Regions from separate parts of the Mus musculus genome. Here region 2 is reported to be linked to region 1. Evidence: microRNA targets listed by miRTarBase, many of them from high-throughput screens and not tested one by one. Region 1 holds a microRNA gene; the other region holds the end of a gene's coding sequence.

Region 1 (14,777 bases):
ATGATTGGCCCAACATAAGTGCTTGGAACAGAACAGACGATGCTCTTAAGAACTGAACCATCTCTCTGTTTATTTTCCTTTATGGACACAGGTCGTTAGGTAACCATGGCTTCAAACTTGTTATGTAACCGAGGCGGGCATTAAAACTCTTGATTCTCCTGCTTCTGCCTCCTGAGTGCTGGGATTACAAACATGCAATGCTCAACCCAGGCTAATGCAGCACATTTAAATTTGTGGCTATCGAGTGGTAAGTAGACTAAATATTCCAGTAAAGATAGGGCGATCTTTGCCCTATCCAGTCGTTCCCAGTCCTAACAGCCTTGTCTCATTCCTTCAGGGAGCTTGGAACACCACACTGGAGAAGCTCTTAAGAGCCCTCATATATCCGACTGTCAATAGCAGGATGAGTTCTTTACCGAGAACGCGGTCTGTGATGTCTTCTGGGAAATGTAGTCCTGAGCTGGATCACTTGCTCGGGTTCTTGCCTCGCTTCTGTAGCTGGAGTAAAGATCCACCCCCACCACAGAGCCGAAACTGCTTAAGTTTCAGAGACTTCAAGCCTTGGATCCTTGGGAAATTCCCCCTTTAGAAAACTAATCGTCCGTTCTCTAGTTTCAACAGATCTCTACTTCCTCTCTCGCACACTGAAACTCTCCTGCAGACTCTAGAAGTAGCACCGCCTTCTGGGAAATGTAGTCCACTATAAATGCTCAGCCACATGGCGGAAGTGGCTGGAAAGAGGTTGTTCCGGATCATCTCAGTGCCCTACCCGACCTAACCCGGTACTGTCCTGGTCGGTATTCGCTGGTCGTCCGAGTTCGAAGCCGTGAGATCGCAGTTTATACTTTTGAAGTGAGTCTGCCCTTGGTTTTAAGTGCTTTGTGTAAATACAGTCCTTAAGGCCTGTATTTGTTGGTCGCTGGCTGCAGGCCGGCTCTAGGGGACCCACCCGGTTTCCGGGATGGCGCTAGAGGCTTAAAGAGGGACTAAGGCGGCGGGAGTGTGACTGCATGGGCGAAAAGGTTTTTGGAGGATGTGGATTGTACAGGAGGGTGAGAGAGAGAGAGTGCGCGAAGTCAGCAGAACGTGGGTAGTAGGTGGTTACCAGATCCTCTAGTCTTGCAACGCAAAGTCGGGGGCGGGAGGTGCGGGACACCATTTATGTCAAGTTTATTTGAAAATTTGGGGGGAGGGGGGAGAAAGCTAAATAGTAGAGACGGTAAGGATTTCTGTGTTCAAGATAGATCAGTTTACCAATCAGCATGACTTTTAACTGTAGTTAGGAGTTAGATATGGTGACCCACATCTATAATTTCAGCACTCGAGCTGCGGAAGCTGGAAGTCAGTGACTTTGAGGACAGCCGTGGGAACATAGTGAGTTCCAGGCTACCGGGACCCACATAGTGAAATCCTGTCTCAGAAACGGATGAGTGTATAGAAATTGTATTTGAAAAAACGTAATTACTGTGGGTTCCTACTTTTGTGTCACACCCTCCGAGTAGCCATTTAGCCTTGTTTAGGGAACTCTTAGAAAATCTTAGCCTCTGTTGACTACCACTAGAGAAGTCAGAATTTGAAGTTCATGATTCTGGGTGATCCACTTCAGGTTCTAAAAAGACAACTTCCTCAGCTCTAGGCTTTTCTGTCAAGAAGCAGACATAGTGAGCACACGGAGTCTCCGTTGTACCCCATCTTCACCCTGTCCAGTTTATAGTTACAAAACTAGTCCTCGGTGTGGTGGGTTTAGAAGGTGGGGGCTTTTTGAAGGTAATTAAATGGGAGTAGTGCCCTGGCTCCCTGGAGCTACCTGCCTTCTCTAGGTGAGAGTGCAGTCCAGAGACTCCATCTGGGGACCGGGGAAATCGGTTTTCACTAGACACCTAATTTGTCAGTGCCACCACAACAGAGAAATAAGTTTGTTATTTATAAGCTAGTCTCTGGTATTTTGTTATAGCAGCTTAAGTGGGCTAATGGACTTTAATACTGCACCTGGCCAGTTCCTGCAGAAATTATTTGAAGTTCCTGAAATGTACTTTGTTTTTTTGTTTACGGTTTCCAGAGAGATCAAGTTCCTTTTTTTTTTTTTGGCTTGGTATGGAGGAATCCACAGAAACGCCTTTCTTCATGACATGAGGAACTCTTCCTACTGTCCTAGTAAAAGGGAGTGTGGGGTGAGATAGAATTGGTTAGTCCTGGGGTGAGGTGCATGTGGAGGTTTTGAAGATGATTGAACCTGTTCATGGTAACACCGAAGAGTGAGTAGCCTAGAGGCACGGCTTTGAACTTTGGACAGAATTTCATTTTATTCATCTGTCTAGTGTCTAGATAGATGGCTCGGTGGTTAAGAGCCGTGGCTACTCTTCAGAGAGTCTGGGTTCAGTCCCTAGTACCCACACTCATAGCTGTCCATAGCTCCAGTTCCAGCAGATACAGTCCCCTCTTTGTGACCCCTCAGGGCACCAGGCATGCACGTGGTACACAGACACACGTGCAGGTGAAACACCCATAAGCATAAAATAAGTAAAGCTTTTTCAAAAACAATTCTGAGCATAAACTCTCAGACAAAAGTTTGGAGAAGCTCAGGCTGCCTGCAGAAAAAAAGAAAAAACAGCAGGCATTTTACCGGGTTCTCGAAGAGACCTAGGCCATCAATTGTGGACATAGCGTTTTTTAAAATTAAAGGCTGGTCATGGTGGCGCACACCTTTAATCCTAGCACTCAGCACACAGAGGCAGGCAGATCTCTGTGAGTTTGAGGATAACCTGGCCTACATATCGAGTTTCAGGACAGCCAGAGCTACAGGGTGAGACCCTATCCCAAAAGAAGAAAGGAAGGAAGGAAGGAAGGAAGGAAGGAAGGAAGGAAGGAAAGGAGGGAGGGAAGGAAGGAGAAAGGAAAAGAAAAGAAAACAGAAAAGAAAGTAGCCAGGTGTATAATACACATTTCAAATTCCAGGACTTGGGAGGCAGAGGCAAGTGGGCCTTTGCATTGGAGACTAGCCTGGTGTACTTAGTAAAACACCATCTTTGAAAAAGAAAAATCTCTTTATGTTTATAAGAAGGTTTTGCCATGTATGCTTACAGATGAATGGCTTCTATCCTTGAGATAAGGGGATATGAGGAAGGTTTATTCCTCACCCTATTTAATAAGGTAGGAAGGAAACTTCCTGGGTGGGTCGCAGGCCTTACAAACTGAAGGAATGAGGGTCTGCCATGATCCCTGTGAGTGTCTCTCAGGAGCATTTCAGTTGTCATTATTGGTGTGTGTGTGTGTGTGTGTGTGTGTGTGTGTATGTGTGTGTTAGTCTATGTAGCAGCCCTGGCTAGCCCAGAACTCTTTATGTGGATACCGTGCTGGCCTTGAACTCCTACAGACTTCCTTGCCACATGAATAGGAAATGCAGCTCACACTCATCTGTATATGCAGCCTGAGGGCCTGGGAAAATGGGTCATGGGATGTTTCTCCCAATTCCACCTTCCTTCTTCCATTCTGCAGTTTGTCCAGAGTGCCCGGAAGAGCTGAGAAGCATGGCCGTTGTGGACGTCAGCACCGTGTTTAAGGTGAGGTGAATTTCTCCTGCCAGCTCTCTTCTGGTTGCTAATTCCTGAAATGGACTTGCACCCCCATTGTCATGGTAACCATGGAAGGTCTGAGCTTTGCCAGCATAATTCTTTCTCCGGTGAACTATAAGGGACTGTCTGGTTGTTCTGTTCTTTTCTCTTCTTTTCTCTTCTCTTCTTTTTTTTTTTCTTTCTCTCTTCCTCTCTTTCCTCCTCCTCCTCCTCCTTCTTCTTCTTTTTCTCCTTCTCCTTCTTCTTTTTAATAATTTTAAATCTTACTTTATGTGCATTGGTATGAGGGTGTCAAATCCCCTAGATCTGGAGTTAGAGACAGTTGTAAGCTGCCATGTTGGTGCTGGGAATTGAACCCCCGTCCTTTGAAAGAACAGCCAGTGCTCTTAACCACTAAGCCATCTCTTTCCAGCCACTGTTTTTCTTTTTTTTTTTTAATTCAAGCATCTTCCAGGCCATGTAAGGAACCCCAGTTCCTAAGTGTTCATGAGTTTACTTCATTTTCCTATTCCTTACTTTCATGATCTGAAAGTAGAAGAAGTAATAGCATTTACTTTAGATTAGTTTTAACTAAATTGATGTGTGTAACATGTTGAGGGCCAGCTTCGTTCAACACAGCAGGGGCTGAAGAGGAGGGGTGAAGTGACAGGACACATGGACATGGGAATCTTTTGATAATTCAGACAGGTTCTCTTTGTTTTTAGTGGGGTCCAGGAGTCACCCCACAAACTGCAAAAACACTGATCTCAGTCAGACAGGGATAGTTTTTTGAGCGCACACCCTAAGACTGACCAATCAAGGCCATTGCTCAGAATTCGGGGGGCTGAGGCTATGACCCCAAACATTCTTCTGTATCAGCTTATAAAGGCTAAAGCCACAAAAACCACAATGAGCTCATAAGTAGGTGCTGGAAGTGCCACCTGATGGTCGGCCCTGACTGAGGCCAGTTTATGCATAGCAGTTCAAATTGACCTTTAAGTTGATGGGTCCCAAGTGAAGCCTATAGTTGTGAAATTTCCTAAGATTAACAAACCTCATAACCTACAGAACATAACAGGGTATATGGTCAGCATGACCCTGCTCTGAGTCAAGTTATTTTTCTGTGTCAGTGACAGGCAGGCATGTTTTACAGCAGCAATGTGAAATAGCTGGCAGGAGCAAAATGGCTGCAGCTCTGCTGGCGGGGTAGACCTCAGTAGTTTTTCTTTTAAGCTTATATCCCCCAGCAAAGACTTTCAGGCAATGTATAAGTTGCAATGTGGCTACATTCTATTTTTCTTCAAGTGAATGATTACAGTGAGTACAAGTAAAAAGCCAGTCTGTTTCTCAGCACTTTTTACACGAATAAACATTTTACATAGTACAGGTGAAAACCAATTGATCTGCAAGGACCCACATACACTCATGTCTAAGTAACTTGTTATAGATTAACAACGTGTAAGCAAGGTGTTCTCAGCCAGTTCTCTTACCGGCAAGCTGCATTTTGTGGTTGCAAAGAAAGGCTCGATCATTTTTATCATTTATCTTTGGATCCATCATTTAATTGTTTATCACAAAAAGTAATCTTATATAAAATCTTAATCATAAATCTAAACTTTTATATAAAAAAACAATCATTTTCCTTTAACTTTTTTCTAAGCCCTCAGGGTGCACCCTACACATTAAATTTTTTTACTAAATCATAGGATCAGAAAGCCGAGGGCATAAATGGCTACAAGAAATTAACCATTACCCTTAATCACCCACCCAGCTTGATCAAGAAAGGCACCTCAGCTAGTAATAACCAGGCTTACTCAACTTTCAAAAATGAACCTTTCTGAACTTTAAATTCTTGCCCAAAATTTTCTACATCAAAGCAACTAACACAAACATCTTAACCTTTCTTGCGAAGCTGGAGCACAAAAGCCGGTGCCGGTGTGATGCCTACACCGACTTCTGGGCTCCGGCTTTGGAAGGAAGGAGGTAGCCTCGGCTGGCATTGCTGGTATTGCCTTGACTAATCCTCACACCTACTTGCAGAGGTATGCTAGTACCACAGGGAGGAGGGGACAGATGCCAAAGGGAGCAGGGAGTCAACTGTCCGTCTTGCTTTTAGTTCTCCTACAGGCAGTGCTTTTTTTATTTTCTAAATGCCTCTGTGTCCCTTCTCCCCAGGAGTATGCCCCTTGCTATTTTATGTCTCCCTATTACTATTTTAATCATAACCAAAGTGCTTCCACTTGAGCGTGTCAAGTTCGGAAAACAGGTGGCCTCAGCAGCAAATGGCTTCATCCTTCCGGGCAGCTGCAGCATTTACACCAAGACAATTACATTCTCTAGCTCTGAGCCTCTCGAAGGGCCCCAGTGCAGTGCTGGATGCCTTCTACCCTCGCCTGCAATGCCCCATCTGTGGGTTTGAGTTTGTTCTTGTTTTTCTTACTTGAGACTGAGTGTCGTTGTGTAGCCCAGGCGTCCTGGTTAGTATTTATGCCAATCTGGCACAAGGTAGACTCGTCAGTAAGAAGGGGGCCTCAGTTGAGAAAATGCCTCCATAAGGTTAGAATGTAGACAAGCCAGCAGGGCATTTTTTAAATTAGTGATCAATGGGGGAAGGCCCAGCCCACTGTGGGCAAGGCCATCTCTGGGCTGGTGGTCCTGCGTTCTACAAGAAAGGAGTCTGAGCAGGCCATGGGAAGCAAGCCACTAAGCATCGCACCTCCATGGCGTCTGTATCAGCTCCTGCCCCGGCTTCCCTCAGTGATGCACAGATACCTGGAAGCACCGGGAGTACACACCCTCTTTCCCAAGGGGCTTTGGTTTTGATGTTCCATCACAGTAATATGTAAAATGGCTAGGTATTTAGAACAGTAACCAAATCTCTCAACTCCCTGTCAGCCCTCCTCCCAGTTTCCAGCCCAGCCTCTTCAGATGTTTCTCCCAGCCATTCCTCCCTCAGTTCCCCAACTGTGTGCTTCAACAGTCTCTTCTGCCTGTTCTCTCAATACAAGCATCTCCAAACTATAACAACTGTTCTAGCCTATCTGCTCAGCTCAGTCTCTGAACATCTTCTCCACCAATTGTCTCCTCACTCTGCTAGCCCCATTCCTTTTTTCTCTGCCTCAGCTGGCTTTTTGTATAACCTATCCTGTTCCCAGAAATCTGAGAGGCAACCAACCCTGAAGGTCATGAAGTCAAGCAGTTTTAACAACAAAAAATTCTTAAAGGGCCAGTTGACTAGCAACTGGAGATCCTTTAAAGGGCCAAGTGCGCAAGATAAATTACACTACAGTAATATGAACCCTAATTAAGACCCCGGGCTAGCCCTGAATTTCTGGCTGTGCCCCCCAGTGCTAGCTAGAGTCACGAGAATGAGCCACTTGGCTGGCTAGACTGGAGCGAGTCTGTGGTTGAATTTGCAGGATGGAGAGAAGCAGTTATCCTCCAGCTTGTGAATTTACTCCCAAAAAAAGGCAAATTAGGAAAGAGAAATTTGCCAAGGACAAAGTAGCATTTGTGTCATCCTTGTGGGAGCCTAGACACAGGCTTGATGTGAGACAGCATGTTGGGAGTGTGGCCAACAAGGGACAATTGGCAAATGCCTTTTCTGCTGGAGTTTTTGTTGGGAGAACCTGCTATGGCTACATCTCATTTACATTACTGACTCTTTGGCCTCCTAGAAGTCAAGCTGGAACAGGTCAAGGTCTCAGGCATACAGTTAAAAAACAAACAAACAAACAAACAACCAGATAAACCCACCTCATCAGGCTGGAAATCAAGGGCTCAGAAGTGATTTCTCAGGGGCCAAAGGCCACTTCCTTGAAATGTTCAGTTTCCCTGTGCTGGAAAGGGGATATGCCTTGCCCTGGCACCCCTTGAAGAAAGAGCTTTAATGTTTCCCTGAAGTCTTCCCTGCTGTGTGTGTTACCTCATGCGTTCATTTCAGGAGTTGGTGGTGTTCAGGGACGTGGCTGTGGAGTTCTGTAAGGAGGAGTGGGAGTGTCTGGGCCCTGAGCAGAGGTCGCTATACAGAGATGTGATGCTGGAGAACTACAGCAACTTTGTGTCGCTGGGTAAGTTCATCTGTACCTCTCTGTAAGGGCTAGGGATGAAGGCCTGTGGGAGGGAGATAAGTCTACCACATGCAGCCTCAAACTATTGAGCCTTTTCCATCCCCACAGTCATGGCTTCACAGCTGGTAAACAGCTGCCATTGAATCCTTTGCTACACTCTGGCACATACTTTCTCAAGATACTTTCCTGCTTCTTTTAATTTTCAGTGATTCCTGCAAGCAACAGTTATTTCCTAAGGTGCTTGCTAAGTGGTGGCTTGCTCGCTGTTTGTTTGTTTGTTAGTTAGTTAGTTAGTTAGTTAGTTTGTTTGTTTGCATCACAGTCACTCTGAGGATCTGCAGTTTGTTTCAGGTTGTTAGTTCTGTGATGAATGCCTTTTGCTGTTGAGGCTTGTCTCTGTATTTGTCTTTACCGTTCTCTTTTTCTCTTTCTTTGAGTAGGACTTGCCATTTCTAAGCCATCAATAATTTCACTGCTGGAGCAAGGCAAAGAGCCCTGGATAGTGGAGCAAGCAGGATGGTGCCCAGGTGAGGAAAGACGACTGCACATGGTGCGCAGATAAATACGTAGGCGAAACACTGATGCGTGTTAAATAGTGAGGAAGCACATGGTTCTGTTTGTCTGGTGCCCCGTGTCTGCTCGCGCTGATGAACTTACTTTCTTTCAGATCTGCTGTCTGTAAATGAAGCTAAGAGTTTGTCTCTAAAGAATGGCATCTTTGGAAAGGAATCGTTAAAATGGAAAATAATAGAAAGAGTTGGTAGTTCTTGCCTTGAGGAATCTTGTTTTGGAGATGATTGGAAATGCAAGGGACTCCTTGAGACAAAACGGGAATCTACAGAGGAATATTTACAGGGAGTGACAGACCCGTTGGAAGAGACGTCAGCCAGATTCGTTCAGCCTGCACCCATTGCTCTGAGTGAAGTGACGCATTCCGAAACGAAACTCTCTGAGCAGGACGCAGGCGAAACCATCACTCAACAGGTGCGAATTCCTACCAGTGACAAACTTAATGAAATGTACGAGAATGCCTTTATCTATTACACAGGTGAGATGAAGCGTCAGCAGGACTTTGCTGGGGACAGATGTGATGAGCTAAAGGCGTGCAGCAGAGGATTCGCCTATGACTTTCAGCTCGCCCCGTATCAGATCAACAAGAAGCCCTACCAGTGCGAGATCTGTGGCAAGATCTTTGAGAAGCACGCTTACCTTGTTCAGCATAACCGCTTTCACACGGGGGAGAAACCCTGCGAATGTAAGGAGTGCGGGAAAGCCTTCACCAACTGCTCGCTGCTCGTCCAGCACCAGAGGGTCCACACGGACGAGAAGCCCTACGAGTGCAAGCACTGTGGGAAGGCCTTCCTCTACTTCTCCACGTTTTTTCAGCATCAGAGAACCCACACCAACGAGAAGCCATACGAATGCCACAAATGTCAGAAGGCCTTTAACAAGAGTGCCAACCTCACTAGACATCAAAGGATCCACAGCGGCGAGAAACCCTACGAGTGTAACTTATGCGGAAAGACCTTCACTTGGGCTTCCAACCTGAATGATCACCAAAAGATTCACACCGGCGAAAAACCTTACGAGTGTAACTACTGCGAAAAGGCCTTTCTCTGCCATTCGGCCTTCATGAAACACTATAGAACTCACACAAACGAGAAGCCCTACGAGTGCCAGGAGTGTATGAAGGCCTTCCGGCAGAAAGCCCATCTCATCCAGCATCAGCGAGTCCACACTGGCGAAAAACCTTACGAATGTAAGGAGTGTGGGAAGGCCTTCGCGTGTCCTTCCTACTTTAACAGACACCAGAGGATTCACACTGGAGAGAGGCCTTATGAGTGTAAAGAGTGTGGGAAGGCTTTCATTGATTGTAAAACTCTCATTCTGCACCAGAGGATCCACACTGGCGAGAAGCCCTTCCAGTGCCAGCAGTGTAGCAAGGCCTTCAGGCAGAGGTCCCACCTGACGCAGCATCAGAGGATCCACACTGGCGAGAAGCCCTACGAGTGTAAGGAGTGCGGGCAGGCCTTCACTCGGCTCTTACAGGTGAAGAAACACCAGAGAGTCCACACGGTGGGGGAAATCCTGTGTATCTGAACACTGCCCTCTATTTACTGAAAATCCCTGACTCAGCATCTTCACAACCACACAGAAGATAAACATTAATGACTCGGAAATGCGGGAAACACCTTTATGTGTCCCTCAGCTATGCAGACTGCTGGAAAAGCCTTCTGGAAGGGAAGGGTGTGAAACAACCTCTCAGACTGTGCTTCACGTTGTGCAATTTATACTATGCTCAAAATAGGAAGCTCTCCTTATTTTCGGCTATTCGTTATGGAATAGAGTTTGTCAGAGAGAACCATCTGATGACTATTCTATTTTTTTTTTTTGCTTTCTTCTTTTTTGTTTTTTGTTTTTTTGCTTTATAACCTACTGTTTATTGAGTATTAATTCACATAGGAAAAATAAAAATTAAATTATGAATAGAAATACTAATTCTATTACCAGTAGAAGGGTTCTATTTAAGTATAGTTATAGACAGTACCACATAGAGAACAATGGTGTGCATGCTGTTAGTGTAGGGGTTTCACATGCATCGATTGCTGACTGTGTTTTATTAAGTTGACTTCAGCCCTGCTTCAGATTGCTGCCTTTTAGCTGGGAGGATGGTTATTTTGGGGACGGGATGAATCAGTAAATGGGGTCTTTGGCATAGCTGCTAGACAGGATCAGGAAGGATTCGGAACCGTCCTCTTATGATGTTCTTTGTTACTATTTTTGGAACATTCATACCCACTTTATTCATGACATCGCCTGTCAGTGCTTGTCCCATGCCAAAGCCTTCAAAAGGAGTTCCGGCGTGACAGTGATTGGAACGGAACACGAGCAGATTTCCACTTCGACTTGAGTTGAGTCTGAAAGCCGACCCTAGCAAGGCCACATGGACTCACTGCTCAGGGTGCCCGGCACAGCAGAGGACAGTCGGATCTGTGCAGGACAAGAATTGGAACAAACTCATAATCTGTCACCGTCACCAGGTGACTCTCAGTCATGTGAAAAGTGCAGTCTGAAAATACAGCTTGCTTCAGTGTGGAAGAACAACAGCTCTACACACTAAAGCCTGGCGTGGTTCATTTGAATAGATGTTGTCAAATTACACACCTTCCCCCCCCCCCCCAAAGAGCAATAAATCTTAGAGTTGACAGCAGAATTACACATTATATACAATAATCAATGAATTTAAAGAAGTTTCTAAAAACCATCAATAAAATGGATAACCGGACTTTAGGAGCTTTTTCCAAATCTGATACATAGACTAGGTTTTCGGGGGCCTAGAGGGACATTTGAAAGACACAAGCACAACCGTCAGAGCTAATGGGAAGTAGAGCATTCCCAGGCAGAAGTATGTTTGTTCGGTTGGCTTTGGTGGGTTTTATTTTAAGACATGGTCTTTCTTAAACTTGTGGCAATCCTCCTGCTTGAACCTACTGAGTGCTGGGATTAGAAGTGTGAGCTACCACACTGGCTTGAACTTGGAGCCTTGAGCCTGCTCAGCTTGGCTCTGCCCTAGAGCCTTTTATTCCCGGCTCTCTTTGTTCTGAGGCAGGCAGGGTCTTGGCTAAATGGCCTAGGCAGGCTTTGGTGCCCTTACATTAAGCCTCTCAAATAGCTGGGGCTATAGACCTCTGTTACCAGGTACAGACAGAAAGTTTGACTGCTATAAAATAAGGTATTCTCCAGATTTCAAAATCAGGCAGCAAGCAAAGGCAGTGAACATGGAATTTGCCAGTGGGAAATTGTGTGGTAGAATGGTCAACATAAATTGTATCAGTAACTCCAATAACCTTTTGAATAGGCTGATTGCTGTAGTTGAAAGGAAGTGTTTTTTAATTTTTTAAACAGATTTTTTTTCTTCAAAGGTTTATTTATTATATGTAAGCACACTGTAGCTGTCTTCAGACACACCAGAAGAAGGCATCCGATTTCATTACAGATGTTTGTGAGCCACCATGTGGTTTCTGGGATGTGAACTCAGGACCTCCTGAAGAGCAGTCAGTGCTCTTAACCGCTGAACCATCTCTCCAGCCCCCCCCCCCCCGAAAGGAAGCTTTTTTTCTCATTTAAATGGAATACTAGGTTGGTGTGGGTCATATCTGAAATTATCCCTGGCAAGGAACGATATTGCTGTGGCTTCAGATTAGCCTGAGGTCCATAGGACAGCCCCAGCTTAAAAGTGGGAAAGGGAAGACAGACAATGCTGCAGAAAGATCAAAACTGAGGGACGGGGGAAGCCCGTGCTGTTGAGATACTAACCAAAGGAGTTCAAGAAGAAACAACAAAAAACTGGTTTACCAAAAAATTAGGGAAAAAAGAACATAATGTGTGAAGATTCGTTAAAAGGGTCAGGATGCTTTTATTTGTATGTAACCAGCAGCATGGGCTCCATAAAGAAAAAGCAAAAGTTAATCAGAACTACAAAGAAAAAAGCCAGCTTGGACTTTAACATGGCTGTCAGGCAAAATCAGGACAGCACATTTGAACAAAGACCATTGAAAAGTCTAACACACACATGGCCTCTCGCAAACTTACAGAATACTCTTTTATATAAGAATTTATTTCCTGTGTCTTAAACTTCAAGTCTGAATCAGTATCAGTCAGTTCTAATTTATCTAATGCATTCTTACCTAGGCCTAGAGATGTCGCTCCATATATTTTGAAATATCTTAAATATCCTTGAAACAACCATTAGTTAAAGAAAACTTAATGGAGCTGAGGAGGAAGTGGTAGTTTGTGGTATGCAGTCGTGTGTAGCGGACAGGGTTTCCAGGAAACAGGTCCCGTGAGGAATTCATTGTCTCAAGATGATAGAGCATTTTAAAAGGTGGAAGCAAATGTAACACGTTAGGAATTTAGTGGGAAGCAAAAGTTGATACAAGTTTTTAAACAGTTGACATATTCTGGGATAATCTTTCGCTGTTAAGAAGGAATTACTGACGTGGGTAGTGATGTCTCTCACATCTTTAATCCTAGCAGAGGCTAGATGATTTCTGAGTTCCAGGCCAGTCTGGTCTACATAGTGAGACCCTGTCTGGGGGGGGGGGGGGGAATAAAAGTGGAGGCTGTGGGGATCACAAGGCATAGTTCCTAAGGCCTGCATTCCAGCACTCAGGAGTGTAGGCCCTGAGCAGCCTGGGCTACATAATGAGACTCCTTCTCAACACTGAAACTGAATCCTACACATTATTGAAGAATGAGCCCTTTAGCACTTCTACGTGTAGGAAGTGGAACATGTTAGAAAATAAAGACTAATGCCCTCATTCATAGTTCTTGTCTGTCTAGTGGGGTTTTTGGCCTTAACCACAGTTAGTTGAATCGAACGCTTTCTGAGGTATGTAGACCCTTTTCTCCCTTGCGATAGAGAACGAGGTGATGATCTTTGTACATATTAGCTTCTATCTGCAGATATCTATTAAAGGTTCATCCCTGGGTTGGAGTTGCTACTTTCTAGTATATGTACATTTACAAAAGGCCAATGTTACTAGCTTTTGGTTCTTTCTCCAATGTTACATAGTGCCCCTATCCAATCATTTTTCTGACACTTTTTTGTTTGTTAAAGCTTTGATTTCGCTAGTCTGTTAGGTAAAAAGTGTTATGACAGTTTAATTTGCATTTTTCCTGCTGTATGTAACTTGCATCTAATGCCATATTTTCCTATTTTCAAATATTACATTTTCTGTGGAGTGTCTCAGTACCATTTTCTGTTGAATGATTGCTTTCCTGATGGCTATGTAAGACTTATAATCCTCTCGAACTGTGTTTATACCAGTTTTCTCTTTTTTATGCCTGGTTTGGATTTGTAGACTTAAGCAATTCATGATTGGAAGGTATCTGTCTTGGTGTTAATGCTTGTAAATCATTTTCCCCCATTCCAATATATTTTCCAAAATCCCATGCTTTCCTCTCATGGTTTATGATTTAAAATGCCAATACAGGACTTGGAGCAGTTTGGGCTATGTCGAGTTAGGCGGCTACCTTCACGGCTGACAGCTTGGTTGTCTGAACACTTGATCCTATCATTTCAATCACAAACTCATAAGCTGGGTTCCTATATTTTTGGATGTATCCCCTCCCCTTTAAAATTCGTTTTCATTTTGAGATAAGTCTTGCTATTTAGCCTAGGCTGGCCTTCACCTCCCGATCCTCCGGATAGCCTCCCACGTGCTGGAATTCCAGGTGTATCCCACCACGCCCAGTTGGATTCTGTCTGGCTGATCTATTGCCTCCTTTCCTCTCTCTCTGCTCCCTGCTCTTCCTCACCCCCTACTCCTCTGTTTATGATTTAATTTTAGCTGGGCATGATGTATACACCTTTAATCCCAGAACACAGGATGCAAAGGCTGGTACATCTCTTTGAGTCTAAAGGCAGCTTGGTCTCCACACAATTCCAGGCCAGCCAGGGCCATGCAGTAAGACTCTACAGTTTCATTATGTGTGTGGTCTGTGCCTGTGAGGGCAGGTGCTATCAAAGACATGTGTGGCACCAGAGGCATCAGCCTGCCTGGAGCTGGAGTTTGGATGGCTGTCAGGCACAGGGGTGTTAGGAACCAGGAACTGGACTGGGTCCTCTGCAAAAGCATGCTCTTAATCACTGAGCTGTCTCTTCAGCACCTTCTTGTGTTTTGAAACAGGGCCTTGCTCTGTAGTTTTTTTTGTCTTGTATTTTATGTGAATCAATGTTTTGCTTACATGCATTGCCAGTTGCCCATTGAAACCAGAGGAAGTCATTGCATCTCCTGGTATTGGAGCTACAGACAATTGTGAGGCACCATGTTAGTGCTGAGAGCTGAACCTGGGTCCTCTGGAAGAGCAGTCAGTCCTTTAAGCACTGAGCCACCTTTCCAGACCCCTCAATTATTAAATGCTATAATATTTAATAATACTAATCATCATCATCCTCATCAGTGTTAGAAACCTATCAGAAGACAAGCTACCCAATAACCCAGGGTGGTGCCTAATACCTGTAATTCCAGCTGAATGGAGAAGCTGATTCAGCAGAATCACAAGTCCCAGGCCAGCCTGGGCTGTCGTTCAAATAAACAGCCCACCAATGTCAGGCTAAAGGGGCCCCCACAAACCAAATCTTGGGAAAAAA
Region 2 (14,777 bases), not on the chromosome of region 1:
CCAGCTGGGGAGCTGGAACCACGCGCAATGTGAGGGTCACATCAGAGAAAGTTAAGACTCAAGTGTGATATTCCTACACAACCTCCATTGCAAAGCCACAGGGTCGCCATGCCAGACACCCACAGGGCCAGCGGTTCCCCACAGGTCCAAACAAACCCAAAAAGTGACTCCCAGGGCTCCAGCTTTAACTCCTGTCTACAGCCACAAGCCATGGGTGTACCTGTAGCTGTGCCCATCTCATCCCGTCCCCTTTTCCCAGCCTCCACCCTCCCCAGTAGCATGAGGACACCAGACATTCCAGAACATCCCGGAGTAGAGAGGTAGGAGCCAGGACAGGCAGCATGGGAGTGCTCACCAGTCTTTGACAAATGACTGGAAGTCCCCTGAGAAGCCCATGTGACCAGGCAGGAGTGGGGGCTCTTCCTGTAGGACTTTGGTGAGGACCTCAAAGTCCGTCTTGCAGTTCTTATAGGGGAACTGTCCTGTTGCCAGCTCCACCTGGGAGGGTGACAGGCATTGCTGAAACAGCAGGTAAGAGATCCCTGCCTTCCCACCAAGCCCTAGAACAGCAGCCCCAACTAACCAGTGAGATGCCCAGGCTCCACACATCAGCTCGGATGTCATAGTCAGGCTTGGTGGGATCTGGAGGGTCGATGCGCTCGGGCTGCCAGGTGAGAGAGAAGGAGGATATACCCTGAAGGTAGGGCCAGCCCACCCAGTCCCCTGGTCAAACCCAGCAGGGCCCTACTCACAGCCATATAGGCAGCACAGCCAGCACTCCGTGTTTTGGCTTTGGAGTCAACAAGGCGGCCACTGATGCCAAAGTCACAGAGCTTGATCTGGCCCCGCTCATCTAGCAGGATGTTGGAGGGTTTGACATCGCGATGGATGACGCCATGCTTCTCCTTCAGATAGTACAGTGCTTTCACAATCTGTAGGACATACACATTTGGGCACCTGTCATGGAAGACAGAATCCAGGGACACCCACCTAGCCATACAAGCCCAGATTTAGCTGCTCACCGCCACAGTCATCTTGCCCAGGATTCGCTCTGGAATGGGGCCCTGCATTCGTTTCTTCAGCTTCTCTGCACATGTGCCCATGAGCTCCATGGCAATAAAGACGTCTGTCTGTAGAAGGAGGGTGGTACCTGGGGCTTGGGACAGCCATGCTTTCTTCCCCACCCTAGCCACACTATGGTACTTGGAGACATGTAGGACCTTATAGGGGCAGAGGGTAACCTGAGACTTTCCCAGAAGGGGCTTGGTCCCTCAGGCAGGGTGCTCACGTTGGTGATGAAGGTGCCAAAGCACTGAACGATGTAAGGGCAGTCATGGCTCTTGAGTACTACATCCAGGTCCATCAAAATGCGCTTATTCTCTTCCTTGTTCCCAGAGCGCCGCATTTGCTGCAAGGAGGGACAGCCAAGGGGCGAGCTTCAAGTATTGAGCAGGCTGCAAGGTCACAAGGTGCATCCTGGCACTGGGGTGTGGAAGGCTTACCTTAACAGCAATGATGTGGCCTGTCTTCCGGAACCGCATCTTCCACACCTGACCACAGGTACCACTGCCCATCTCACCCAAGTTCTCCAAGTCATTGATTTCTGCCTGATAACGCTGGGAAAAGAGCAAGACAGCTGGAGGGTCCTCAGGGCCTCTGCTCTGTCACCCACCACCTCCAGGTTGCCCGGGTCCTGCCTGACACATCCCCCAGGGTGCCGAGCTATGGGGAGGTAGTACCTGGCCCCCGATAGTCAGGTACCCTGTCTGCTTCATGATCTCCTGCAGCTTCTGGTCAATCTCGATGCTGATAGGACAGAAAATGGAAGATGGTAAGGAGGGCCCCCACAAATGTCACCCGCCTCCCTCGGACCAGCAGGAGGGCCCAATGCTGGCCCTGCTCCACCAGCTTACCTCTCCATACTGCGCGGTGTGAACAAGGTTGATGGGAGCCCCAGCATGTGGCGGGGCCGGGTGGGGGGTGTAGGGTGCTGTGGGGAGCTCTCTGAGGATGGTGAGCGGCTGCCCCCATCGTTGGCCAGTGGGAGTTGCAGGGCTGGGGAATTAAAAACCAGGGGCATGAAAGGAGTTAGCATCTAGCTGGCCACCAAGGACTCGGCGTTCTCATCTTCCCCTTCCTGGTATCCCTTCGGCCAAGCTGGAACAGTCCCCTGCTCTGCTGGCTAGGGCCTTCTTCCCCACCCCCTGGGCATCTTCAGGGTCCTTCCTCCTGCCCCTCTGACCTGAAAGGAGATGGGGTGGCCTGGTGGGAGAGGGGTAGTCCCACAGGCTGAGGGCTTATCCTCAAGTACATACTGCAGAGAAGTGAGGGGTCTCTGCCAGGGAGCTTCCCTGGCAGAGCTCTCTGTTCCCTCTCAGTGCCAGGAAGCAGCCCAGGGCCGCAGTGCTCACATGGGGAATGTGTGAGGACAGAATGCCCATCAAGAACCTGGCCTGGCCACCAACACTACACTGTGGATGACAAGAGCCAAGAGCTATGGAACTCTGGTTTCAGGCTGTCTTGCCCTAGATTAGACTCCTAGGCCAGGGAGGGCCACCTTCTGTCCAGCTGTCTCATCTGTGCACCTCCCAGCCAGGCCTGCAGAGCTGGGGTCAAGGGATCGGGAACAGAACCCCAGGGTAAGCTTGATTTCTTGTGAAGAGAGATCGATGGTGATCTAATTGGCAAAGCTCTTCCAGGGGCTAGCTGGGCTGGCCAGGGGGGAAATGCTGGGCCAGGGAGGGGAGCTTGGTACTTCCCAATGGCCTGCATGCGGACAGCTCGGGCATGCTACAGGCAGATAGCAGGCAGGCAGCAGGCACCCCAGGACGGGCGGGTAGTGTTAGGGTGAGGGATGACAGGAGAAAGACAGACAGGAGGAGCCAAGACTTGGGACCCAGCTGCCCAGAGGAGGTGCTGCAGAGACAGCCAGAGAGGATATGAGACATTAAGAGGACATTCCTTGAAGAGCTAGGGGGTCTCTCTGGCCTAGAGGCAGGGGCCGTGAGCCCCCTTGTACATGGAAGCATCTGCTCTCCATGAACCTCTCATACTTCAAGGGTCCCAAGGCTCCCGGAGGCTAGCTCAGCTCAGGACAGCAACAAGCACCCTTCAAGCATCACTTCGCAGAAGGCCTGGAGCCTGCCACTTTCTAACACACCTCTCCACCCTTATCTTTACTACCGTCTCTTCCCACAGTCCCTCTAATGGCGTTTAGTAACTTGGGCCCAGCAATTAATGGTCAGAGACAAATGGGCTTTTACTGCAGATATCCAGGTCTTTTCTAGTTCTGGTAGTTGGGGCCCAACTGTATCCAGACTCACTAGGAACTGTCCACAGCTCACGTCCATGAGTACATGTGTGATCCTTCTTTGTCTGGCAACTCAGCTCTCTGGAGTGACCACACCTCTAACCTCTGTACTCCCTGCCAGTCCCCTGACCCACACAGACCATCAAGCCCTCTTGGGTTGCTCCAGATCCAGGGAAAAGGCTGCTGGCCCCACTCTCTGAAGCATGGATTTGGTGGAAAAGGGGGGAGAGAGAGAGACAGACAGACAGACAGACAAAAGCCCTGAGAACAGAAGTTAGAGGGGTTTAGAGCCACACGGCAGGCCTAGAAAGTAGATTAAGTATAAGTCAGTGAAGGAAAACAAAGTGAGAATGATTGAATGAATGAGAGAAAGCAAGACAGACCATGGAGACATGTACCCACTTATGGGATCCATATGTGTGCAGGCTACCAGCCCAACATACATACACTCATGTGCAAAAAGACAAACATGTACATACAGCACACATACACGCATCCATGTATACACACAAGCTGGGACACACTAGCACCAATAGTGAGCTCTTCTCATTTCTATCAACACAGGTGCTCTCTTACACACACAGGACATTACACACCTAGGAACTAGCACAGCTGATCTACCTAGCATTGGAGACCTTAGGTTGGAGGAAGGGGTGGAGGGGGGAGGTCTTGTTTCCCCTAACCTCTTGGTATACTTTTGTTCAAACCCTGTATCCTCCATAGGCTTTCCCTGAGAGACCCCTCTGCAGAGACCCTACTAGACTATTCTGCTGGATCAGACACATGCTTCGTGACCACTAATGGATCCCGTCCATCCTGCATCCTCAGCCCCACAGGATAGGAGCTTGATCTGTTTTACTTACTGCTAGGTTCCTGGTTCTGAAAGGAGACACAGTACACAAATAATGACACTCATTCACTTCATAGTTGAGACAGATTAAATAAGAGCAGTGCACCTATCTCTACCTACTTTATTTATACACACACACACATCATTGTGTGCCCACTTAGCAGACTCCTGCTCATTAAGGGAGCTCATTTCATCTTCTAGGATTCCAGATTGAGCCAGAGAAGAAATGAGAAGACTAATGGACACAGAGAAAGTATAGCCAGGCTCACATTTCTGTAGTTAAGGGAGAGTGAAAATGAAGACACAGAACTCTCTTTCCTTCTCTCTCTCCCTAAGTTATACACACACACAAATACACCCACACACCCACATACAGCATAGGGTAGGGATGGCATTCTGCAGCTGGGGCAGCGGTTAGGTCAATGTGCAGATATGCAAGCAGCAATGATAAAAAGGCTGGTACCTGCTCGCTGGGACGGGGCAGGAGCAGGGCTTAGAGTGATCACAATAACTGGATGGGGAAAGGAAGAAAAGAGAAAAAAAAAAACACCACAATAAATCACAACAGAAACAACCGATTTGTCCAACAGAAAAGAAATCAAATCATAATGAAGAGGAGGGGGAGGCACAAGGCACCAAACTGCAGAGATGGGTAGAAACCAACAGAGATGGGATGATGGCAGGAAGGTGTGGAGCTGACAGAGACAGACACCTGCAGGGGACTCCTTGGGGCCTGCCAGCCACTAGCCTTACCAGGTCTTACTCTGCTCTAGGGACAGGCAGCTCTTATGGCACCTAGAACCCTATTCCCAACCCTGTCTCATCCACAGGGCCGTGGAGGGATGGCCCTGGAATCCAGCAGGGGCCCAACCTCTGGTCCCAGGCAGAATCAGTGAAATGCATCCCCACCTCTGGGTATCTCCAGTTCCTGGAAGAAACTCCCAGGAAGGAAACGTGGAAGACTTTGTCCAGAAGGGGTAGGGATGGAGGGAATCCTGAATGCCTCTTCAGGAAGATGATCAAGCTGTGAAGGTCAGTCAGGCCAGGTGGCCAGGTAGTGAACAGAATTTTCACCTACAGGAGGCTGCCTTTCCCCTCTTACCATAGTGACCACACAGACAACTATAGTATGTATACTCCAAAGATTACATCACAGAGGATATAAAGAAGACATTCTGCTGAATCAAGAGGGACAGAGGAAGGGTTGGACAGAGAGGGGAGAAAAAAAGCCAGATTCTTTCAGCAAAGACAACTTGGGACAGGGGTATCTGGGATACAACAAGGATGCTAACTGTGGTCATGGTGGACAAGCTGGATGTGTGTCTAGAAAGGAAGAGGAAGCACTTTTGGTACAGGACCGTATGTCAGGAGGCAGGCCCAAAGACAGTAGGCTCAGAAAGGAGGTGCGTTTCTACTCGATGGGACTACACTGGTTACAGGTGTCTGTAGTAGTAGCAGTCACTTGAGCCCTGTAGACAAAGGCTGCCAGGCTGAGAGATGGCTATGTGTTTCCTGAGGGCTAGACAGCAATAGTGAAAAGTAGTTGGTCATTAGAGATATGAGGTGCCCCTGTATGTAGGAGGCAGTGAGCTGGGTCCAGTGACAAGGTCCTTCCAAGCTTAGAAGGAGCCATCTGATATGACCAAAGAAGTCAAATAGAAGCCTCCAATCAAAACGGATGTAGATGAGGACTTAGTGACCTACATGGGCAGATAGGCATGCACGTGTGTGGACTGTCTGCTAGGGGAGGGGACCTCTTGACAGTCACTGACTCGGCAGGAGTGGAACCACTGAATCAGAAGAGATATAACTGTTTGCAGAGTTAAAAGACTTGGTTGTAGTCACAGCGGCGTAGCTTCGAGTCTGAAAGCCTGCAAGGTGCAGGTGACAAGGCTCCGGAAGCCGACCACAGGGTGAGGGACTAAGCTCTCAGGTACCAACGGTGTGAACTTCGGGACCGCGGTACGTGGGCGGAGAGAGTCGCCCTGGAGACTGCCCACCCGACTTCCAGGTCACCGTGACCCTCTCCCTGCAAGCCGACAGCACAGAGAGTGGAGGGGAGGAGAGCTAGCGCCCCGGAAGCGGGGGCAGGATCTGCCCGGTGGGCGGGGCCTCCCAGTGCGCGCCCCGCCCCGCCCGCCCCTCCCCCACGAGGCCGTGCTTACTGGGCCTGGGCCGCTGTGGGCTGATATCCAAGTTGAGGTCGATCCTCCTGCGGGCCTCACGGTTCTCCTGCTTCAGCTTGGCTTCCAGGCGGGACAGCTTCTGCTCCAGGGAGGACGCCGCCATCTTCCCCGCCGCCGCTGCCGCCGCTCACCGCCAGGCCACCCGTCAGTCCGGGGTAGACAAACACCGCACTGCGCCTGCGCTCGGATGACCCCGCCGAGCCGCCGTCCTGCCTAGACCACCCCAGCGCGTGCCCGCCCTGCCTCGCGTGCATAACGCCGCGCGTGCGCACTGGGTTCCAGTAGGAAGCTGATGCCACCTAGAGCCCGAGGCGGGCCTCATGCATTGTCATGGCCTATCGCTGCCTTCCGCAGTGCGCATGCGTGAAGTTTCAGGCGATTAAGCGCTGTTGGAAATCACTTAAAAAAAAAAAAGAAAAAAAGAGAGAAAGCGAAGTCCGGTCAACCGCACGCCTGCGTGCAGAAGCGGGAGACCGGCCAAGCTCGCGCCTTTACTGCACACGCTTACGGCTGTTCCCAGATTATTCTTCACTTCGTGTGCATCTCTAGGGCGCTCTGGTGCCCGCGCCCTCACGGAACAACCTTCCTCGTCTAGGACGGTCTTTCATGAGGACCTGTTATGCTTAATTGCGGCCTGAACTCTCGCTGTTAGCATGGAGCCGCCTCCTCACCGTAATTAGGTGCCCATGGTAATCCCTTTCCATTTCAGCCAGTCCCAGCACAGTGAGAGTAGCCCTGACAAGTGGAGAGGGAATCCAGAGTTGGTGATTCCTGAGCTCGGTGTCAGAATCAAGGTTAAGGCCAGACTTTCTGCCCCATTCCTATCCTTTCGCCCGGAGAATCCGGACTTGAAACCAATGTTATCTGAAGACAGTCCCTGGGGTTAGATGCCTCTGCCCTGCTAGCCCCATCCCCACCCTGCATTAAGTTCTTCCAAGAGTGCTAGGATAAAGTTTGTGTGTAAATTCGGGTCGTTGAATGTGCAGGGACATTCAGCAAGAGACCAAACCCAGGAGGTCAGGCTGCGCACAACTCCGGAAGCAACAGTGAACACTTTGGGATGGGCCTTGGCCTTTAAAGGCTTCTTAGAACTCCTTTGGTAATGACCTATGGGTGGAGCAGAGAGAAGCTTAGAGTTAAAAGGATAAAAGAGGAGAGGAAAATTGGATTGGTTTTGTTTTGTTTTGTTTTGTTTTCGCAACAAGGTTTCACTGTGTAGTTCTAGCTGCCCTGTAACTCTGTAGACCCGGCTGGCCTGGAACTCAAGAAATCCACCTGCCTCTGCCTTCTGGAGTGTTGGGACTGAAGATAGGCATCACCACCATCCAACTGTTTTAGAGGGTGGGGTGAGGTAGATTCTTTAGGAAAAAAAAAAAAAAAAAACCTAGGCAGAAAACTACCCAATTTCTCTTGATTCTACTTCACCTCGTTGAAGTAACTTGGATATCCTTCCTCCCAGGACAGACAGCCTGATTTGATAGACAGGTGTCATCATTTGGCCCCAGTTATAGGCAGCTTAGACAATCATACTGTACAAGGAGGTGGAAATTACCGTTCTCGTTTATTAAGCACCCAGTGGTATATGCTCCCCTGCACAGGAAACATTCAAAAGAAAATCCCTGAATGAACTGGGAAAAAAGGTAGCCTTCACCAGCACTGGACTCAGGTGGGAATGTGTGACAGGAGACTCGGCTTACAGTTTCTTCTTTATGTTCCATGAGCATTGTCCTGAGAAAACACTGCTTAACTTGATGGGACTCCCTACGGCTCGAGAAAAGGGGCTCCATAGCTGACATGTCAGTATTCCATTCTTAGTTGTTTTGAGATGAGCTATGCTCCGTCTCCCAGGCTACCTCCAACCTTTCACGCCTCCTCCCTCCACCTCCAGAGTACTATACAGGCATCTCTACATTACATAGGTTCCACCACTCCTAGATTATGAAATGCTGAGGACGGGACCCAGGGCTGCCTGCATGTCAAGCAAGCACTCTCACAACTGAGCTTCAGTGCCAGCCCAGTCTTTATGTCAATATTTCCATTATGTGGTCTCAGGACCACCTGAATCAGAATTACCTGGCATTCTTACTTAGTAGCAGATTCCTGGCCCCACCCAATTTTTTTTTTTTTTTTTTTTGACAGGGTTTCTCTGTGTAGCCCTGGCTGTCCTGGAACTCACTTTGTAGACCAGGCTGGCCTCGAACTCAGAAATCCACCTGCCTCTGCCTCCTGAGTGCTGGAATTAAAGGCGTGTGCCACCATGCTCAGCTACCCATCCAAATTCTGAGTCAGTATAATTTCAGGGGTGGGGTGGGAAGCATGTAAGGGTTTTGTTTTCTTCCGGGCCTCTCAGCTGATTTTATTACATAGCTAAATGTGAGAGCCATTGTTCTAAGTACCCATCCCTGTCACAAAGGGCTTATAAAATCAGGACTTGCATGAAAGTTGGGATATGGAACTTTGGAACTGGACCCTGTATCCTCTCCTTAGGAGAGAACCCTAAGTATATGCTGATCCTTGTTGGGAAAGGTTGGAAATCCCACTCCCATATAGGAAACTAATTAAGCCAGAATGTTCAGAGGAAGGGCAAGCCAGCCAGCCAAAGACACAGGTGTGGTTTTGGTTGAAGAACCTAAGACTGGTTAATCCTTCCCTAAGGGGTTACACCTCAAATCTACCGCCTCCTGTTTCTCCTCCAGAAAAACCAGTCCCAGGATCTTGTCTGAGCTGCACAAAACCGACATGTCCTGCCTTCCTTCCACTCCTGCTGGACCTCTCTCCCTTGGAATACAATGTTGGGCAGAAACATGTAAAGGCCTCTGTGTCAGCCTGCCCCTTCCCCCACCAGGCTTCATTCCTCCTCCATCTTTTCCCGAACTTCTGCAGGCAGTCCCTCATAAAGGGTGTCCTCCACCAGCAGCCCCGACTTCTTCAGCCCCTTGCAGTCACCAAGTTCTTCTGGCAGTGTCTCCAACCTGTTACCCTTGAGCTCCAGACGGCTGAGGGCCTGGAGGGCAGCCACGTCAGGTGAGAGCTGAGTTAGGTGGTTGTAGCCCAAGAGTAACGTCCGCAGCTTGTGGCAGAAGAACAATTCATCGGGCAGACTCTCGAGTGCGTTGTAGGAGAGGGCTAGATGCTGGAGGCTCTGGAGAAGGCCCAACTCAGGTGGCAGGGAACGAAGCCCGTTGTGGGATAAATCCAGCAGGCGGAGGCCAAAGCACTGGCCCAGCTGGGTGGGCAGAGTCTCCAGCTTGTTGTGACTGAGGTAGAGCTGCTCCAGGCTCCGGAGCTTTCTCACATGCTCGGGCACATAGGCAATCTGGTTGTGCCACAGCCTGAGAGTGACCAGCTTCCGACAGTGCTGGAAGCTGAGGATCTCCTCGATAGACCGAAGGTGGTTGTCCTTAAGGTCAAGTTCCTGCAGAGCCCCCAGGCTGAAGATTGCATGGGGGATACGTTCCAGCCCACAGGCCACCAGCTCCAGCTCCCGTAACACTGCCAGCTTCTTGAGGCTGTTTAGGGCAAGCAAACGAGCCCCATCATTGTGCAGGCTGAGTCGCTGAAGGTGCCCGGCCACATCAGTCACACTGGCTGGCACCTTCCCTGCATTGCTACGTAGAGACAGTACCTTGAGCTGTTTAAGCTCCCGGAGGCTCTCCAGGGTGGCACCCCGAGCCATTTCTGGGGGAAAGAGTCCTTCCAGGTGCAGTTCTTCTAAGCCTCGAAGCCCAAACACCCAGAGGGGTACCTCTCGGAGCTCCTCGAATTTAACACAGATCACCTTCAGGCGATCTCGCAGGAAGATCTGTGATGAAAAGGGCAGCCTGGCTGGTGAGTGAAGCAAGCTGAGCTCCTGAAGGTTCACAAGCTGGGAGAGCCCAGGGGGAAAGGAGATGTCACAGATGGCCTCCAGCCTGAGTGCCTCCACCTCGCTGAGCTCAAAGACGGTGTCAGGTAGTCCAGGGAGCATGCAGAGGCTCAGCTCCAGCCGGCCACGCATGTTACGCTGCAGCTTCTGCCTCAGCTTCTCAGGTGTCCACTCATGGTTGAGGTTGAGTTGCTTAAGGCGGCTCTCACTGACTTCAGAGAGGAAGACTGCAAAGCGTTTGGAATAGAGGGAGTCGTACTGGTCAATGAGGTGGAGCATGAAGGCAAAGTCATTCTTAACATCCGGGATATCGTTCATCCCTGTCTCCTCACGCACAGAACGGAAGGAGTACTCTTTTAGGGGCCTATGGAAGAGCCAGTAGAGTGTATACAGGCAGGTGATGCCATAGACACACACAAAGGAAATATAGCAGAAGGCCAGCTTAGAAAAGAGGTGGGCCTTGGTGTGGTTGCAGCAGAAACTGGCATACCCCGTGATCTCTGATGTCTCCACCCTACAGGCCACCAGAAAGCTGATCTTCTCCACATAGATCAGGTTGTAAACCAGGATGGCAAAAAACTTACACACTTTGAGCACTGTCTGCCGGATGTACATGGAATAGAGGATGTCACCCTCTTCCACGTGCACTCGGAACTTTTTGACCTTCTCGAATAGGGCCTTCGCTTGCTCGCCCTCCTTCTTATCCAGCAGAGTAACAACTGGAGGCTCAGACACCACCTTTTCGGGCTCAATGAGCACTTTCTCCTTCTCACCTTCACCCACCTTCCCCGACCCTGCCCCTGTGGTGGTTACCGTGGTCACCATGGCCCGTCCAGAAGCTGGGCCCTTGTGATTTTCTCCAGACACCTCGGACAAGGCCCGAGTGGTCCATGGAGAATCAAAGCACTTGCCCAGGATGGAGATGAAGTGTTCTATTTTGGAGCTGGTACCAGGGAATTTGAACCAAAAGCTGGTACAGACCATAAAGATGAGAGTATGGATAACCACCAAGTAGGGGAAGTATTTGGCATACCAGTGGAGGGCAGTCTCATAGCAGAGCTGGTTGATAAAGCTATACTGCTGGAGGTCTAGGTTGTTTTTGAGGCCACTGAGCTCTCGGAGACCCCCCATCTGCTCAGAGATTCCTTGAGGCAAAAGCTGCTGGCATGGAGCCCCCGATATGTTCTCACGAGATTCGTGGCTAGGCAAGCAGATGATCTTGTCCTGTGTCACCTGGGGATAGGGAGAGAGTGAAAGACAGTGAGGGGACTAGGGAACTGTACGGGAGAGAAGCAGGATGAGGTGGGAGACCCTGATCCTAGACAGTTGTAAGCTGTTTGAGTGTGGAAGAGCTGTTAAACTATAGCATCAATCTTAATCTGAAAAGAAGTTCTAGGGGAGCTGAGCATGTGTGGTGGTGCACGTGGCGCACGCCGTTAATCCCAGTACTTGGGAGGCAGGGCCAGGTGGGTTTCTGAGTTCAAGTCCAGCTTGGTCTACAGAGTGAGTTCTAGGACAGCCAGGGCTACACAGAGAAACCCTGTCTCAAGAAACAACAACAATAACAACAACAAAAACCACCAAATAAACAAATTAAAAAAATTAAGTTATATCTATAACAAAATTCTATAAGAAAAAAAGTTTAGCCTGGTGATGCTAGCCTATAGTCCTAGTTACTTAGGAGCCTGAGGCAGGAGAATCAGCCTCTGCCTGGGCTACAAAGTAGGTATAAGTTCAGCCTAGACAACTTCAATAGACACTAGTGAAAGGGAGGGAATGGACAGGATTTAGCTCAGAGGTAGAGCCCCTGCCTAGAATCCCCCAGAGGGGCTAGGGTGTTGCTCAGTGGTAGAGCCCCTACCTAGAATCCCCCCGTGAGGGGCTAGCAGTTTGGCCCTGCAGTAGAATCCTGTTTAACACTGGAAGCCACAAAAAAGGAAAAAGTAAATGTGTATGGAAACACTCTAATATTATTTTAGACTTTGACCACTGCTTGTGGGGATGGAGGAGAGAAGGTAGGGGACTAGACTTGGTCTGTGTGGAGGCTTTGGCACTGCCTTCCTCTTGTCTGTTTCTCTTATTTTATTGATGATTTTTATTGAACCTGGGACCTCATGTAAGCTGGACAAGTACTCTAATACTGATACTTTTTCTTCTTTCCTATGTTATTTATTTTATTTTAGAGATGGTCTCACTGTATAGGCCAATTGACCTGGAACCCAGGATCCTGATTCATTTTCTCTATATCCTGGGAACGCAGGTGTGCACTGCCACACCTGGCCTTAATTTTAACTTTGAGTCTTGCTAAGATGCCTAGGCTTCAGATTTGTGATCCTCAGGCCTCTGTCTACAGAGCACTCACCACCATGCCCAGGCTCTTTCTCCCTCTTCTTAGGAGACTTGGGAGGCTTCAGGACTTCAAGCAAAAGGCCTACTCCTTTAGAGATCTGCTCTTTTACCTAGAGAGCCCAGCTGAACACATTTCCCTGTCTCATCATCATGGAGGGGTCTTACCCATATGCATAGCACAGTTGAAGACCCCCCTACCCCAGGCATGAGCATTGTCATGTTAAGACCACGTCCCTTTATGGTCCTGCCCTTCACCTGGAACGCAGCCATGGTGAGGCCCAGTTCCTTCATGACTGAAGGGGCTAGAGATTGGTTAAGAATACTTGTTGCTTTTGCAGAGGACCCAGGTTTGGTTCTGAGCACCCACATGGTGGTTTACAAGCATCTATAGTTCCAGGAAAGCTAACCTTTCTTTCTGACCTCCACAGGTGCCAAGCATACATGTACCTTGCATGTACACATACATACATGCAGGTCAACACTCATACACATAAAAGAAAAAGTTTGTGTGGGTTTTTTTTTTTTTTTTTTTTTGATTTTTCGAGACAGGGTTTCTCTGTGTAGCTCTGGCTGTCCTGGAACTCACTCTGTAGATCAGGCTGGCCTCGAACTCAGAAATCCACCTGCCTCTGCCTCCCAAGTGCTGGGATTAAAGGCGTGTGCCACCACGCCCGGCCAAAATGTGTGTTTTTAAAAAGACACTCATGAGGAGAGTTGCCAAGATGTGTCACACCTTCACATCCCCAGCCTCACCCCTAACCTGGAAAGAGCAGCTCAAGGCCCCAGTCATTAGCATGGTCAGGAATATGGCCACAATGAGAGCCAGATCCCGTGTACCCCCTCCCCTGTCTGCTCTTTCACCTACAGAGTTTATTGCCATAACATGGCCCTGCCTTGCCACATCCCACTCATTGTCAAGAAGGTGTGTCCTAAAACTCTAGTCATAGGAACTGCCAATGTGTGTGGCCCTGCCCGGGTTTGTTTTGTTCCTCACCTGGAGGGTGCACCCGAATACCCCGATCATGAGCATAGCCACGGTGAGGTACTCAGCCAGAACATCCCACCAGGGTTTGAGCACCTTGAATGCAGGCTGCTGCTCTGTGAACTGCTTGAACTCCGCCACTGGGATCATCCTGCCTATGGGAGTCAGAAGACAAGAGGGGTTGAGACACCAAACAGTGAGAGCAAGGGTGTGCCTGGTGGAAACCCCGAGAGGCCAGACATAGCTCAGAAGCCTACGCACTCTCAGCCTGGCCAGAACTTTCTAGAATCTATGCATCGTTGTATGTTCCCTTCCCCTCTTAGCCGGGGTCTTGTTGCTTCCTTCGGAACTCACCTCTTTCCCAGTCTCACAGCGTTTCCCCTCCTCCAAAGCACAGGTTTATCTTTCACTGCCTGCCCTCTTCAGAACTCTGTGAGAGTAAAAAAACTACAGGGCAGCTGTCCTCCAGTCTCCTCCTTTGGCTGCCCACCTCTGAAGGAGGAAGCCTGTGACATTCGTTCTGGTACTCCTTTATTCTAGCTGGGTTCTCACCTCCACCTTGCCACCAGGGTATCCCCAGGCTCAAGACTTCCGGGGTGTGCCCCCCTACAGGGGTGCTCTGGGCACCACCTCCATTCTCTAACCGGAAAAGCCGGCTAGGGAGAAGCAAGCTGGAGCGTGGCTGTGCTCTAGTTAAGGGCCTCAGGGGTTAGGGAGTGGCCAGGCTGAAGGCTACTGAGCCCTGGAGGCATGTGCCAAGACACCTGACTGTTCAGATAGGGACTAGAGCCTAGAATCTGAAGTGGAAATAAGAAATCTGCCCCCCACCCCCACCCCCGGGGAAGAGTTTTGGCATGTGTGGAAGCATGAGAATCACTAAACTGGAAAACTCTCAGGGTGACACCTATGACTGGAGCCTGGCACAGGGCTGCCAGCCCACTCTGTCTATCTCTGGTTTCCTTTTCTACTAAGGTATCATTATCACAAAGGCCAGACCCAAGTCACACGGGGGTGTAGAATGTGAGCTAAGACAGGACTCCCAGGAAGTCAGCTACTTGCTTAGGGCAGAGAAGGAAGCAAAGAGTGAAGGTCTCTTGGACAGCCCACCCCTGTCAGCATCCAAGCTTTGTGCGCGCACACACACACCAAGGTGTGGATATGGAAGAGTAGGGGGTTCTGTAGAAAAGGGAGCAGGCATTACGTCTTCCTATATAGAAAATATGACACTGAGGTCC

What was found. Region 1 holds the annotated microRNA mmu-miR-1964-5p (AGCUGGAGCACAAAAGCCGGUG, at 5,462-5,483, shown strand). A microRNA usually pairs through its seed, bases 2 to 8, with sites in the 3' UTR of a target mRNA and lowers its output. Matches are read on the target gene's strand: a 7mer-m8 pairs with bases 2 to 8, a 7mer-A1 pairs with bases 2 to 7 and ends in A, and an 8mer does both.
Region 2: the mRNA of Lrrc8e is a reported target of mmu-miR-1964-5p. Seed matches in the 3' UTR shown: 7mer-A1 at 9,109-9,115 and 7mer-A1 at 8,578-8,584.

Annotation. Positions count from the first base shown.
Region 1 is chr7:29,767,844-29,782,620 of GRCm38, forward strand. It overlaps Mir1964 (microRNA 1964), which reads left to right and starts at 5,451; the gene lies at 5,451-5,533. Zfp84 (zinc finger protein 84) reads left to right here and starts at 709. Exons shown (of 5, transcript NM_023750.2): 1 at 709-852; 2 at 3,496-3,560; 3 at 7,495-7,621; 4 at 8,062-8,148; 5 at 8,289-13,576. The coding sequence starts at 3,528. The coding sequence ends at 9,721. It overlaps Gm38983 (a long non-coding RNA gene), which reads right to left and starts at 410. Exons shown (of 2, transcript XR_881933.3): 1 at 1-410.
Region 2 is chr8:4,230,582-4,245,358 of GRCm38, reverse strand. Lrrc8e (leucine rich repeat containing 8 family, member E) reads right to left here. Exons shown (of 3, transcript NM_028175.2): 2 at 13,555-13,697; 3 at 7,889-11,444. The coding sequence starts at 13,692. The coding sequence ends at 9,195. Map2k7 (mitogen-activated protein kinase kinase 7) reads right to left here and starts at 6,619. Exons shown (of 12, transcript NM_001164172.1): 1 at 6,326-6,619; 2 at 4,624-4,671; 3 at 1,914-2,055; 4 at 1,740-1,806; 5 at 1,503-1,616; 6 at 1,289-1,408; 7 at 1,023-1,130; 8 at 753-932; 9 at 584-664; 10 at 356-498. The coding sequence starts at 6,449.